Linked DNA regions of Neodiprion lecontei. The protein of the gene in region 2 purifies or fractionates together with the protein of the main gene of each other region. This does not show direct contact. Links are inferred from orthologs where the notes say so. Each region holds a gene or a part of one and is shown on either strand. Other genes may lie near its edges.

Region 1 (4,686 bases), about 1.8 Mb from region 2:
ACAAATAGGCTGCATGATGTGCCGTCCGACATCAGTTACGAATTGGCCAACCGACCTGAGGGCCAATTCTTCCAGCGAAGCTATTTGGTGTTTCTTTGGCATTTTGTCAATCTGATACCCCTTAAGTTTTCCGTTTGTCACTTATCCTTTATTATTTAGAGATTTTATTTAGCTTTCCAATAACTCACCAAAGCGATTTTTGATATTACGGTCGAAGAACGAAGGTTTTCCCTCGATACCGAGTGTTTGGAAATCTTCTTTAACCAAGGAAAGTATCAAATGGCCAGACGGAGTTACAGCGAGTGAATTCTGGGTGTCGATGTGACTCTCTATTGCCAGCACACTGACCTCACCTGAAATTGTTCTTAGATGATATTCAGTTACAAAAAGTAGCCAGTTAAAAAGGCAGCTCTGTTAAATAATTTTTGCATACATGCAAAGTAATCTACTACAGATGCTATTGAAAATAATTCTGTATAATTAAACCTGATGGCGAAAAGAAAAAGTTGTTTCTGTCAAAAGAAGTAGTGGAAAAATGAAAATTCCGTGGCGGACAGTTTATTTTTTTTAACTACCTGCTGATAAACAAATGCATACAAGGTTCTGAAAATTTGCTAAAAATGGCGTTTGCAGATCGATTGTAAGTTAAGAAACACGGAAAATTTTCCATCCTATTAGTGTTTCACCGGCGGGAAATCAAGAGTAGAAAAAGTGCAACGAAGTGTTTTAAAATTATAATGAAAAATTGGTGGAAATATTGAATTACCGTTTTTCACAAAGGCCTCGATGAATTCTTTGTCAACCAGTTCGGATGCTGATAAATTGTTGACTCTGTAATAGTCGTTGTCTTCGTTGAACGATTCGAAATAATGCGGTGGTAAATTAACTGTATCAGGAATGACGACAGATACCTGGCAATAATCCAAGAATTATTTAAAATTACGTAAATCTCTCGTTACAGCTACGCAGCGCAGCATAATAAAATCAACCTAACCTATAATTTATAATCGCGAGATCGCGTTATACCGCTTACCGAGTGGTTGAAATAGTGTTTTCTAATCACGCCCGTCACGTTCTTTGTTAAACAATCCGAATGATCGACCTTGAAGTAGTGCTGCGGGGCTTTAAAGTCCCACACTTCTGGGCACAGCATTTCCCGATTATTAATGAAAATGCGTACACCGCGTCGTACGAACAGGCATTGCGGTTATTGTCAGTCAGAAAGGTAAGAACCAAGGAAACACCGAAAAGCTATCCAATTGCGTATTACGCCTAGTCTTGTATTGTATTTTATTTCGTTATTGACATAATACAGCGATCCTCGTATTGGGAACGATGGAAAATAATTCAGATAAACTTCGTACGCTTACGTTTCGAACAGCTGTTTTCTATGTATTAAATTAAACTTTATTGTGACGGCCGTCGCATATGCGCTCATGCGTACGTACCACAGATCAGTGATATATGCATACGTACGGTATACATAGGCATGTATGTAGTACAGTCCACGCATTAAATTTCTTCGAGTCTGGCTTTAGACCCTTTAGACAGAAGCCTAGAAACTTATTACAAAGTTAGTTCCAACAACCGCCGCGTGCGTCGAAACGGCGCTCCCTTATATCAAACAAAGGAGCATCAGCTGACGCGACATCGAACATCTAGATTCTAGAGTTGACAAGTCAGAACGCGTCGCGTTTGCAGGACTCGGTGTGTTAGTTTCACAATCAGCAGTCACCGGTTTCGGTTAGTTTTACCGGAATTTTTCCCTGATTCAACATAGATTTCCATCGTCTGATGAATCTGGTATTTCGTAATATTGCAACCTTGTCCATGAAGTTGGTCGCAACTGTTAAATTAGATCTGAATTCGTTGTAGCTCGCCGATGTGCATTTGTTTCATTAATTTTTCAAAAGAAACTAACACGTGTCGGCATCAGTGCGGTTTACATAATTTATAGATACTGACAGGCTGCCTTGTAATAATTAATCGTAGAATTGGATTTACTCGCGTTGGTACAAATATAAATTCTCCATTGTTTCGATCAACACGTGAGTATAACAGGCGCGATTTCTAGTTCGGTTATTTCGGATGTTCGTTTCCTCAGAATCCATCTTGTTTTTCGAATAAATATACGTGTGATTAATGTTCAAAAAACTGATTTGCTTGCTCTATTGCAATTTTGTGAAATGATTCGTTGCACGCGTCGATGTGAAAGACAATTATCGGCAACTCGAAGAGGGAATTGACGAGGTGCCAAAGCACTGGTAAGTGAGTTTTTCATACGATTTGTGCTGATCGGCAGTTGATTATTTTTCAATGTGTCCGTAGAATGGAACCATTTCTATGGTTACCAAAGTATTACATGTGACTGGTCGTATATTGTTGCATTGTATTGTTACTGCGCACGGTCGAAACTTCATTCGACACAGCTGATTTAAGAAACAAGGAAGATAAGATAATGAGTTATTTGTCCTTATGAAACAAATAATCGACCGTTTATTATTTTCTCATTTTATTACGAAACTAGCAGAGACGTGTACGTTTTCGTAACAATGCCCATAATTATATGTATAAGTAATAGTACACCATATTATTTGCAATATAGTTTTCTTTGTTTTTTTATGTACCCCACTTGCGACCGGCGCAATTTACACATCAAATGCTATACCTAGGAATAATACCCGTACAAATCAAGTATATTTAAAATACGTACAAACCGATTGACGCATACACGACAAATTCTCCAATTATAACGCGTGTTGATGAATTGAAATTGTTTTGATTGAATCTCGAGCGAAACCCGTAATACCAAAATGGCGTATTTTCGCGTACCTGCGTCAAAAATCAAATATCCTGTCACTCAAATTCGACTGGATTTTTCATCATTATTCGTATATTTAATAAATAAGAATATAAATACGGCAAAGAAAGCTATAATTTTATTCTTCTAATGTTCTAATTAGTTTACTCGTGTTAATATATTCTCGATACATTACTCACGTCACAGCCTAAAATACCTATTTGATTCTCGTATAAAGTAACGTAAATACTTGTACGTATATTACACTATATACAAATAAAATTGGAATATTTTCATTTCAATTGTATAGTGTATATTTTACACCATAATAAAATATTCTCGTCACTTACATTAATATTATTATTACACAGGGTTCTTATAGCGAGTTTTTTGGTTTCCGTCTTTCATTCCACACTTATTCATTTTCTCGTTAGTCTTTGTTACATAGTTTATTCGGATGGTTTTTTTTTCTACAGTACGAACGCATTTCCGGGAATATAATATCTCCTGCAGCGATAGCAGACATGTTTTTTAAACATAGATATACACGTGGGTAAATCAACTTCCCACGATTGAGGTAGTATATAAGTATAGTCGCAAAGTTGCGTGTTTATCCAATTTTCCACATTTTTGCCGACTTGACGTTTATTGGCGCATTATATGGACAATGATTCGTATGTAACGTGTGAGCAATAAATAATAAGCTCTCTGAAATGAATAAAAGTAACGGGGTTGGGGGATACAAGTCAGCGAAGAATGTGGACAATTGTTAGATGAGAAGTACTAGCAATATAAAAAGTTCGTGGAAGTCAATTCGTTAATCAATCCTCGTGCGTATCACGAATTAAAATTCTACTTCAATTCTCAAAATTTATTCGTTACAATTGCTTATTTTATATTGTTATATGCTTTACGGAATGTTACTCGATGACTGTTATGAGAAGGAACAACGTTTTCTCTCATTCAGGCACAATTAGCCCGATGAAATTGAATCTCTATAATATAATTATATCCGTCATAATATGAGTATGTTTAAAGTATTGCCAAAGTTCATTATTTGATACGAAAGTTGTGAATTCGAAGTGAGGATTCTTCTTCAAAAATACGGGACGCAATTTTTTCCTTTCCAAAGTATGAGGCAATCGTTTTATACAATAAGGAAAGGATTGAAAAAGTTCGTTTCGAAATCTGTCTTTCTTTTTCCCCAGACCGTAGAGAAGAAGTTCTACCAAGGGTTTGAGATACTAATTTTACGGGGGTCAATATTTGTCTCAAACAAGTAAATAAATACTGTGAAAATTGTTGTATACCTGTACACTCGTCAAAACCTCTTAAGTCGGAAGAGTTATTTCTCGGAAGTTGAATAACCCTCTGAAATAATTTGATTTTGTACAAAGATTATTTCGAGGGATACAGAAATTTAACATCGTAGCTTTGTTCTCGGTGATCTTCATATTGATGGAAAATCTTGTTTCCTGTAATCGGATACCGACAAAGAGTGAAAAAAGAAAAGTATTTCTCGGATGCAGATTGTTTTCACGTTTCATAGGTAACTCGCATTCTAATTTATCATTCTTGTTATGCAACACCTCAATTTCTTCCCGGTCAAACACCGTACCTTAATTAATTGTCAAATATAATACACCTTAGCGGCGTAATTAGCGGCGTGACGGATACGCGCACCTTATACTGCGTATATACACATGTTTGCACATTTCGTAAGCCTTGCGTATATCGCACACAACTGTGGATATTTTAGGCTAAGAAAAGGCGTTTCACTGGTTTAATCGAAGGTTCGTAACCCCGCACACAATGTGACGTAACACGGTTGTGACGTCAGAGGAAAGGTGCGCGTTGAATTAGGGGGTCATGCCCCTCGGCAACGT
Region 2 (4,024 bases):
TGTGTCCTATTTCAAAGACTGAAGTTGAAAGGTGTTCAAAAGGAGAATAGTCTGTAAATAATTTGCTTCCGATAGCAATTAAAAATCTATAAACTTACAGTAAAAGTTTACTTTTGCTCATTTTCATTTCCTCTTTGCATCATTCTGTTTAGAAACAGTTCGAGTCTGTGTTCGTCTGTGGAATGTATAATATGCTATCTGTTCAATATTGTTTTTATTATTATCCCTATAAAGTACATTAAATACGAAGATTTTTCCAACAATATGTAAAACTGTGGATAATTGCGTTAAGAAAATTTTCGTTGATATGTTAATGCTAAATTAAGATTAAATTTAATTTAATCATAACAGATCTTAGATATAGCTACCAGATGTAAAATACCAATGGATAAGTGTGTAAATTATTTCCCCCGCTAGTAATAACAAAAAATAAGTACATATTATTGAAATACCAGTTATGTAACAAATCTTTATCTTTTAAAATATAGTCTACTCAAATCGTATGGATCAATTTTATTTTTCACAAATTACTCTCCCGACTGATCACAGTTTTATTTTTTTTGCTTCGGTACAAGTGTCACCATGTTCATCGTCTGTTTCCTCCGCTTCTATTTCCATTTCCGATTCCATCTCTCTTTTTTCGGTGCTACATGTTTGTATTCGAAAAACTGCTTTTCCATAGCGTCTTCCTTCTAAACTCAGTGTAAAAATATGTCATTATTGTTATTAAAAAATTTCTATCATAATTATATCGACCCACCTGCTCTCAAAATGACATATCGACTCTGTGAGAGGATTGAAGCTTTAGCTTTTGTCTCATTCATTCCCAGAATAGAAGCTCTAGCATAAAAATGACTAAGGAATATAACAGATGTAGAATCAGCACTCAATAATTTTCAAACCACCAAACTTCAGAAATTGGCTACTGTAATACCCAGTTGAATTCAAATATACTTGATAAATTCTTCAAAGGATACAAATTTATTATATCATAAGGACTCCTAATTTGGGTTTCAATTGAAGCTCCGCTACTGATGAAGATGTTCTGAAAGAATAACCATGATGCAGAAAAATTTTGACAAGCAGGTGCCGATCCATTTATAGAAAGAAAAAATTACTTTGCTTTTGCCAAACATGTGGAACAGATGGGAGTAATGTATAGCAAACTTTCTGCTCGCACTACTAATAACATCGCAGTACTGAATTTCAAAATTAATTCCTCTCTCTACAGCTTGTAAATATAACTTCCTGCTCAACTTTAGCCCAACACAATTTCTGTTTAATAATACGATGTCTGTATTGAGTTGGGAGCAAGCAAACTGGAAAAAAGAAAAGAAGTATCAAGAAAATCATAAATTAATCCGCAGTACCAAACTTATATAGTAGTCATCGTGCAAATCTTACCAACGTACCTGAAATGCTGCTTGTGTTTTAGGTACAACAGCGTATAAGTCATACTTTCTCAGACTCGATGATTGATTCTGAAAATATTGAACAAATTTAAATACTTGAATTCAAAAAAATAAATTAAATTTAAAATACCTATTCTCAGTGCCTTAGAATTGCTGAGATTATATCGGATCAACTTTTTACAGACTTTTATAACGTGTTTACCAGCGTATGGGTTCTTGTGGGATCTCCGAACACGAACGTAAGACGATTTAAAATACGAAGCTTTCCAGCATATTCTGAAATTAGATCAGCGATGTCTGGAGGACTCGGGACAGTAACTCCCAGAGCTTCATTGTCACCGGCCTTTTTCTTGTTTTTCTTTTCAGATTCGAAAACTGTCTCTTCTATTGTTCGGTTGATTGCTACTGTTGAATAACCCACTGGTGAGAATTGAAGAAAAACATTACGATATGTCATAGTTGTAGATTCTGATTGATCTTCATTTGTTTTCTATTTACATCAAATGAAATGAGAATTTTTGTTCATACGTACATACTTTCATATAATTTATCCAGCACTTTATGTAATGTATTTTTATTTACAATTTCTGCATTTATGCATAGGTCGCAAAACCCGAAAGCAGTCTCCATTTCAGTGAATAATTACATTCACCAAACGTGGTAATAAAATATACACAATAGTATTGAACAGCTGAACCACAAACAACGTATAGAGTAACGAAGGTATACTACGTTTAACGAGAGAACCAAAGTAGAGGATCACACGTGCACAGACCACTGGATCTCTATTATAACTAAAGATCAGTGGCACAGACTTTTTCGCAACGCCATCTGGTGACTCTGAGAAAAACTAATCGATAATAATCGGTATGTTACACCGGTTACGCGGCTCGAATCTTCGACTGCGGGGACTGGTCGGAGGTGGTTGAGTACTTATAAGAGTTCTATTTGTGCACGGTTGAACGTCGTTTCGTGTATGCATCGTTATTAGTTTGTTATTTTAATATGTCAAACAATGCCACGTTCCGTTGTGAACAATTCTGATGAAGATCACAAAGCCAAAAACGGTAAGCCGCAGTTCAAACTTTTGTGTGAATATCATTTTTATCACAACCGCCAATTGTCTGACGACCGTTACGATTTCAAATATGTCTGAGCGATAACATTGCCATTCTTTAATCTCCCTCGCATTTTTTTGCCTCGTGAACGGTCCGTACCACGTTTTCGTACATGTGGAATCGCGTATCGGTGCAAACATAATTGGAATAATTTTAATCGAATCATAGATCTTCCTCAACCTAATTTTGCTGCTCTATGTACACGGTGACCTAGCATCAAGTGACCAAACTGATAGGGGTTATATAGGCGGTTGAACTGAGTAAATTAAACGAAAGAACATGTGACCTACGAAGTCGCGTTCGCGAGATACGACCGGTTAAAAGAGATCTCGCTAAGCGCTGGCATATAGGCAACCGAGTATACATCAAGCCGCGGATAGCGATCCTTGTCGACATTCGCTCGAAATTCAATAGTTATGCAATTCAATCGCCAGATTAAAATTTTTTATTGATTCACGGGATTGTTTATGGGGTATAAGCAAATATTGCTTTGCTCATTTTACACGTATTATTATGTAGGAATCGACGACAATTAAATTTAGTCGTTAAATTTGTAATGAAGCGACATTGGAATGTCGTTGAAAGTTTGTTTGGGAGTAGAAGCAAGTCTAATCATAATGGACAAAGATATTTCAGAATTATTTACCACTTCTATGATATTGGAAAAAATTATTTAAAAAAATGTATACATGTCTGAAGTTGTATCCAGCTGTCTAGGTCATGACATGTTGTCACCTGGCAACAACAATAGCTGGATTAGAGTTACTTTTCGATTATGAACAAAAAAAAATGGGTTCTATGGATGACAGATCTTGGAAGTATATATAGTGATAAACAAAGTTGTCGTAACATCATTAGAGAAAATTGTACTTTTGTATTATTATACATATACAGGTACAATGTAGTTTAGTAACGTTCAAAGCTTTCACATGGTACCTGTAATCACTTACATGGTTTTGGAGATCAGTTTCTAGATACCGGCCAAGCGAGGACCTAAAGGTGAAAATATTTGTTTAGATCTAATCTCACGAATGTATTGAACGACATTGAATGTTATGTTTACGAGTGCCATAAATATTTGGAATGTTTGTTCCGATTTTCTGTTCTATTCGTTTTTTTATAAACTTTTTCAGAAACTAGCTTTTCTTTCCATAAGACTTGTTCGTTTTTTTTTCTTCAGTAACGTCATTATTTTCGGTGCCAACCTTACTCATTTCGAAGAGTATACGATTTTTTCACAATAACACTACGCGACGTTACCAAACTCTGAAAAACCTAATAGACTATCCAGGCACGCAACGCAACCGAATTTTGACTGGCTGCGTAACGTCGTTAAGCCTTGATGAAAAACAAATCATAAAGTCTCATAAGAATTTGTTGAGAAAACTATGTGTATCTGTCACTAAAATTTCTCATAAATATTGGTAGCCGTTTACTCAAACTCAACTCATAGAGTATTATGAGAACCTATCAGAAACGGTAAATTGATATTTG
Region 3 (5,388 bases), on a different chromosome or scaffold from region 2:
AGTAGTTGTAAAGGAAAAAAGAATTCAATGAAGGAGAAAATTAATAAACTAGTAAAACTAGAAACATGTATTCTATAAAACATCATCTACCGCTGTAATAATTGTCAACTATTCAATCTCAAAAAACGTCTCATGTAAAAAAAAAAAAAAAAAAAAATGAAAAATAATTATTAATACAGTTATTCCTAAAAAAAAGCATTTTGTGGGCGCAACAAAAATTAGTATTAATTAGAGGATTTATGAATAATTGAAAAAATAAAGTATATAATATGTATATGGTATGTTCATTAGGCTGCTTTACATAATTGAGTAACAATAGTATCGAATTGACAATTTACCGGGGCAATCAAGAACGTTGAGGGGGGCTATAATTATATGTCCTTGACATATCCGCAGTTGTTTAATGGCAGAATTTTTTACATGGCTATTAAAAAAATGATATGCCCGAAGTAATGACACGATTTAAAAATCGTTCCGAATTATTTAATAAGCTCCAGTTTACGCTGTGCTAACAGTTGATCTGAATACAATAGGCTTAAAATTTTTTAAGGAAAGTGTCTTCCTTAATAATCGGAATTGCATGGATGACAGGAGCAAGAATATCAATTGATTTTTAAATGATGTTAATACTGCGATAGCATTTGTCCACCACACTTCAATAGCAATCATTTAACCTGTAAAAAAAATGTTGAATTAACATTTTATTGATGATTCATAGAAATAGTGGCTGATTTGTCATTTAAATTAAATTCGGAAGCTACCGTTCTATAGTAGCTGAATAAATATTTACAGTGGTACGTCGCAAAATACCTATCTTTTGCCAGCATACTGTGTACGTTTAACTGATCCGTTGAAAAGTGTACTGACGGCATGATTAACACGTTGATTATTTGGAAAAAAATTGTTTCAATAAGTTATACGCCTTAACGTAACGCAGTGATAATTGTAGATTGCCCCTGATTATTGAATGGGACAGTGAACACGTAACACGAGTCTGATTCGGTGGGTATATGAACATTAATCCAAATCTCATGACAAGAGCATCGTTATTAATTATTAACTGCATGTTGAGGGATGCTTTAAACTCAAATACACTAATTATTTCTCGTGAGGGATCGATTAGGGTAGAATTCTTAGTTGCGTTTCTGATTCTTCAGGCCTGTGTAATTGGTTTACTGATCCTTTAAATTATGGTAAATAAATTGTAAGAATTCGTTAGGAACTGGTGGTGCGTGCGAAAGGTACGCGACAATCCCAAAACTCCATCATTGCACTTATCTTTTCAACATAGCTAAATCAAATTGATCGTGAATGAAATTTTTGGAAATGAAGTGGTTAGTGATTTATTATTTGAATAAGGATTTAACCAATCCGCATCGCAAATTGTTATTATAATATCATGATTATTTGAATATTTTGAAATACTATTATAACTAATTATTGCAAAAAGCAAACAAAAAAGCAAGGATTATTAGTAATTATACATATATATTATAAATATATAATTATATTATTATATATTATATTGGTATTTAGTGTAACATGTAAGTAGTAGACAAAAATATGATATGAATTAATATTATTGAAAAAAAAAAAAATGAATAAATGATACAAAAGGTAATTATCGAGAATGGATGATCGAAGAACTGGATTGCATTCAATTGTTTTTGCTGTAAGATATAACAACTGTGTCAAGTGGATATGCACAGTGAGAAATAAACAAATGCCTGTTTGACGAACATATTTTCATTTTCTTATCATACACATTCCCATATTAATTAACCAGTAACAAATGATATTCGTCACTAAACATTTTTTATAAAAATTATAAAAAAATTAAAAATTAAAATGCACAACGTACTTGTTAAAGATACAATTTTATGCACGTATCTCTTGACTATGGGAAAGCCTCATTTGTGATATTTGATAAGTCATTAAAAGTACTCAAGAAAATTTTAGCAATATTTGTATTTTCATAATCGTAATTATGTTATAAATCAGGTACACGAGCACTTTTAAATTTTTTCACTGATCTCTCAGCAGGTCTGACACACAACTCTCTGCCAAACAATTGTAAATTCACATTGCCCAAACATATCTTGAATACAGCTGTGTCTTTTGGAATTGCTACAAGAAAAAAAAGCGTTAATATTTTCATGATGGTTTACAGAAAGCAACTTTAAAATCTTTCATTGTATACTGCTAATCGCATATCTTTTCTTATCCCTTTTCGTTCTCATCGAATAATATACTTAAGTGCATGTAACTAATGAGGATGTCTTAACATTTTTTTGTAGGCTTGTGCAAATTTTGTATGCATGGTAACTTTAGGCACAAATCTTGATAAATTATTCAATAAAAATCAGAAGTTTTGTTTCCAATAGAATTAGATTTCAATGCTAAAATTCAGAGTTGTCTTACTTCGGATAATACTATCCTCTCCAATAACTCTGAAGGTACATTTAGTGTCTTGCAATACAATGCCATGAATGCCTACCAAACTTGGGCATTTAGATCTAATGACAACAATTTTTGCTCCATGGAAGTCAGCCTTTAGCAATTGTTGACCAATGTTGTCCCAATTTGGTTCGACTGGTCCTTGCGGTAAATCAGTGAAATTGTTAACACCAAGCATTTGTCGCATGTATTCTAGCCACAGCTGGTTCAATGCTAATGCATCAACGTATTTCAAGTTAATCCTGTTATCCAATTTATTTAAGCCAAGTTCTGATCTTTTTCTGGCTGTTAAAAATGTTACCTTCTTTGGTTTACGGCGAACATGCTTTGTTCTGTATTTGTTGAAAGTGAATGTCTGAAAAGTGAAAAATGTTAAAAGATGACTGATGAATGGAACAAAGGAAGTAAAATTTTTATTCTTATTACCTTTTTCAATTCTTCATTAACTGATTTAGTATCTGAGGGTGGTAAGATATTTTCTAAAAGATTTAAAAGATATTCACTGCGATCCGTCGATGTTGTTGCACGGTTAACCACTGACACTGGAAGTTGAAGACACACGTTGTCTGGAAGAATACAAATTACGGATAGTTGAATCTGAATATGAACAATTCTGTATTGCAGCTAATTAAAACGTTCAACAAAGGCATCTTACCCGACATGGTTTCAATAAATTTTCCGAAGATTCTTGCTGCAATCTAACCTAAACTCACTGTGTTTCCCCTCCCTATAAACTCTCTCTAATTCCTACGATATAAAATCGAAATAAATAATGTGTGATCAAAACTTGAATCACGAATGCCTACCAAAGAACAGAAATGACAGATCATAAGGTCCCACTTGAGTTCTAGTTAGCATAAGCAATCACGAATCAAACGCAGCTGTCACGTGCACATCGCACGCACATGGTAAGTTGACGAGTAATTGACGTTTATGGTTTATAACATGGTGTAGTTTATGACAATTTATAAGAAAGGCAGGAAAGTAAAGTTGGCCTGCAACATAGGAATTTCGTGAAAATTTTTAAGAAATTCGAAGTTCACAGGCTAGCTTCATATACCTAGGTCGATCTGACCTTTGGATCTGACATGCAGCGACACATGTTTACGTTTTCGATTCATCTCGATTTGAAAATTTGAAACATCGAGTCGCCTTAAAAATTCTTTTCGAAAAATATTCATATTCTTGGAATCTGCAGCTATTTCTATCAAAAAATGTATTTAGGGTAGAGAATTTTATTTTTCTACTTTGTTTTTATTTTGTGTAACAGATAACACATGTTACACAGCATTGAAAAGTCAATACGAAAGTTCTCAAAATTAAAATTAGGCAATGCCCCTATAATGCATGAGCCTGATAACTAAAATAAATCTAATCATCATTACAACAGTTTTCAATTCCTTATACATTTGTTTCTCTTATTATTGTAAAGACAACATATGTGGCAAATAACAAATAAGTAACTATTTATACTTTATAAACGCAAATTATCTATATATTTACAGTATTTATAACCTGCTATTGTAGAAATTACTCGCTGAAAATGATATATATATATATATATATATACATAGATATTTTAATTGATATTAGAGTGTAACTAGGAGGTCAACACTTCAGATGTTTGGGGTTGATCGGCAAAATAACGATCGATGTAATGTAGTATTTCAAATACTACCTCAACCATAATTAATACAATTATCATCCATTCTAAACGAACGTGATGACGATCGCTAAGATGGGATGACAAAAGTTCTACAAGTTCAACGCAATGATTCAGTTTCTCATTCATCACCTGTGGACAGAAATCATGTATATTATTCTATATAAAATATTGGTCAGATCCATAATTGAATTTATAATACAAAGGTAATCTAAGATTTCAATTCGAATTCGTTAACAATGGAGAAATGTTTAAGCAGTTTTATATTTCGCTAGTACGAAATTAAATTGATTGACATATTGTGTATTACTATAATTTCACATACCCGAGTACGTTTGGCAATACTGAAATAACTACACGTTTGTTGGAATAAATTTTCCAATTCATCTCTTTCCCAGTAAAAATCTGGGGTATCTAAAAGGTCGGAACTCAAGTTGATCATATGCCTGAGCGCAAATAATTCGCCTTGCTTTCGCAGAACTTCTTCTCTGCTCATTTTTATTGGACGACCAGATTTCAGATCATCAGTAACAAAAGCAATTGAATCCACATAACGGTCTAGTGATGCTTCCCATATGCCAAGTTTGACAGAGAGTGCAATTGCATTTGAGAATGTGTATTTATCCAAGTCTGTGGCATTTGGTGCCAACATGATATTTCCTTCTTTCAAATGGCTCTTTTTACTGTAACGTATACCAAAAATCAGGTTGTCAGGTACATACATTGAGCATCCGTTAATTAGGACTTATATCAATCGGCAATACAAATTGGAATAAAGATCGGCGCAATCAAAAACACTTCAACCATTCTGATATCTTACCTAGATTCTAAATGCGTGTACAGCATTAGTTCACTCTCTGACTGCACCAGTTTATCAGCATAACTATGTTGTTCATAGGATTTCAAGAATCTCAGTAAATTTCCACTTTCAAGTTCTGACATATTCCAAAAAACAACAGTTCCTTCTCGGAAAAAGTAGACTTCACGGGGCTCTGTTTCTACCTCATATTTAGCTACTGCGTGAATCACATCTGGCATTGCTGGAATGTAATAACAAAAAAACATATATTGAACGATTACTAGCAGTCTATGGTTTAGTGGCTTTTTCCTCTTCATAGATAATGCTCTGTTGCAATTCTTTTATTATTCTTCTGCTTTTGCGATATAAATAACATGTGTAAAAAGACTAGGTAAATGTGACATTGTGAATTTTACTTCATTTTTTGGTTCAGCACCCTGTTTTGGTATAGTTCCGAAAAGCCCATACC

What was found.
Region 1: the proteins of ribonuclease P protein subunit p30 (region 2) and ribonuclease P protein subunit p40 purify together in Homo sapiens (affinity purification with mass spectrometry; 3 studies listed by BioGRID and IntAct, counting the BioPlex papers as one, with this or other methods). This does not show direct contact. The link is inferred for Neodiprion lecontei from reciprocal best matches to the Homo sapiens genes RPP30 and RPP40.
Region 3: the proteins of ribonuclease P protein subunit p30 (region 2) and ribonuclease P protein subunit p29 purify together in Homo sapiens (affinity purification with mass spectrometry; 4 studies listed by BioGRID and IntAct, counting the BioPlex papers as one, with this or other methods). This does not show direct contact. The link is inferred for Neodiprion lecontei from reciprocal best matches to the Homo sapiens genes RPP30 and POP4.

What each region holds. Positions count from the first base shown.
Region 1 is NC_060261.1:34,620,740-34,625,425, reverse strand, and holds the start of ribonuclease P protein subunit p40, read right to left. Parts: upstream 3,058-4,686; 5' UTR 1,154-3,057; coding exon 1,034-1,153; intron 912-1,033; coding exon 767-911; intron 354-766; coding exon 189-353; exon of another isoform or gene 103-188; coding exon of another isoform or gene 1-102. Other genes in the region: uncharacterized protein LOC107219755, read right to left, coding at 1-102; uncharacterized protein LOC107219723, read right to left, coding at 4,637-4,686. UniProt on the Homo sapiens protein: Component of ribonuclease P, a ribonucleoprotein complex that generates mature tRNA molecules by cleaving their 5'-ends. Also a component of the MRP ribonuclease complex, which cleaves pre-rRNA sequences.
Region 2 is NC_060261.1:32,863,969-32,867,992, reverse strand, and holds ribonuclease P protein subunit p30, read right to left. Parts: upstream 2,207-4,024; 5' UTR 2,043-2,206; coding exon 1,949-2,042; coding exon of another isoform or gene 1,945-1,948; intron 1,833-1,944; coding exon 1,615-1,832; intron 1,482-1,614; coding exon 1,413-1,481; intron 1,320-1,412; coding exon 1,119-1,319; intron 1,046-1,118; coding exon 978-1,045; intron 841-977; coding exon 761-840; intron 693-760; coding exon 544-692; 3' UTR 528-543; downstream 1-527. UniProt on the Homo sapiens protein: Component of ribonuclease P, a ribonucleoprotein complex that generates mature tRNA molecules by cleaving their 5'-ends. Also a component of the MRP ribonuclease complex, which cleaves pre-rRNA sequences.
Region 3 is NC_060262.1:35,015,033-35,020,420, forward strand, and holds ribonuclease P protein subunit p29, read right to left. Parts: upstream 3,517-5,388; 5' UTR 3,316-3,516; coding exon 3,264-3,315; exon of another isoform or gene 3,120-3,263; coding exon of another isoform or gene 3,113-3,119; intron 3,024-3,112; coding exon 2,884-3,023; intron 2,813-2,883; coding exon 2,422-2,812; intron 2,128-2,421; coding exon 1,991-2,127; 3' UTR 558-1,990; downstream 1-557. Other genes in the region: required for meiotic nuclear division protein 1 homolog, read right to left, coding at 4,058-4,252, 4,446-4,803, 4,941-5,160. UniProt on the Homo sapiens protein: Component of ribonuclease P, a ribonucleoprotein complex that generates mature tRNA molecules by cleaving their 5'-ends.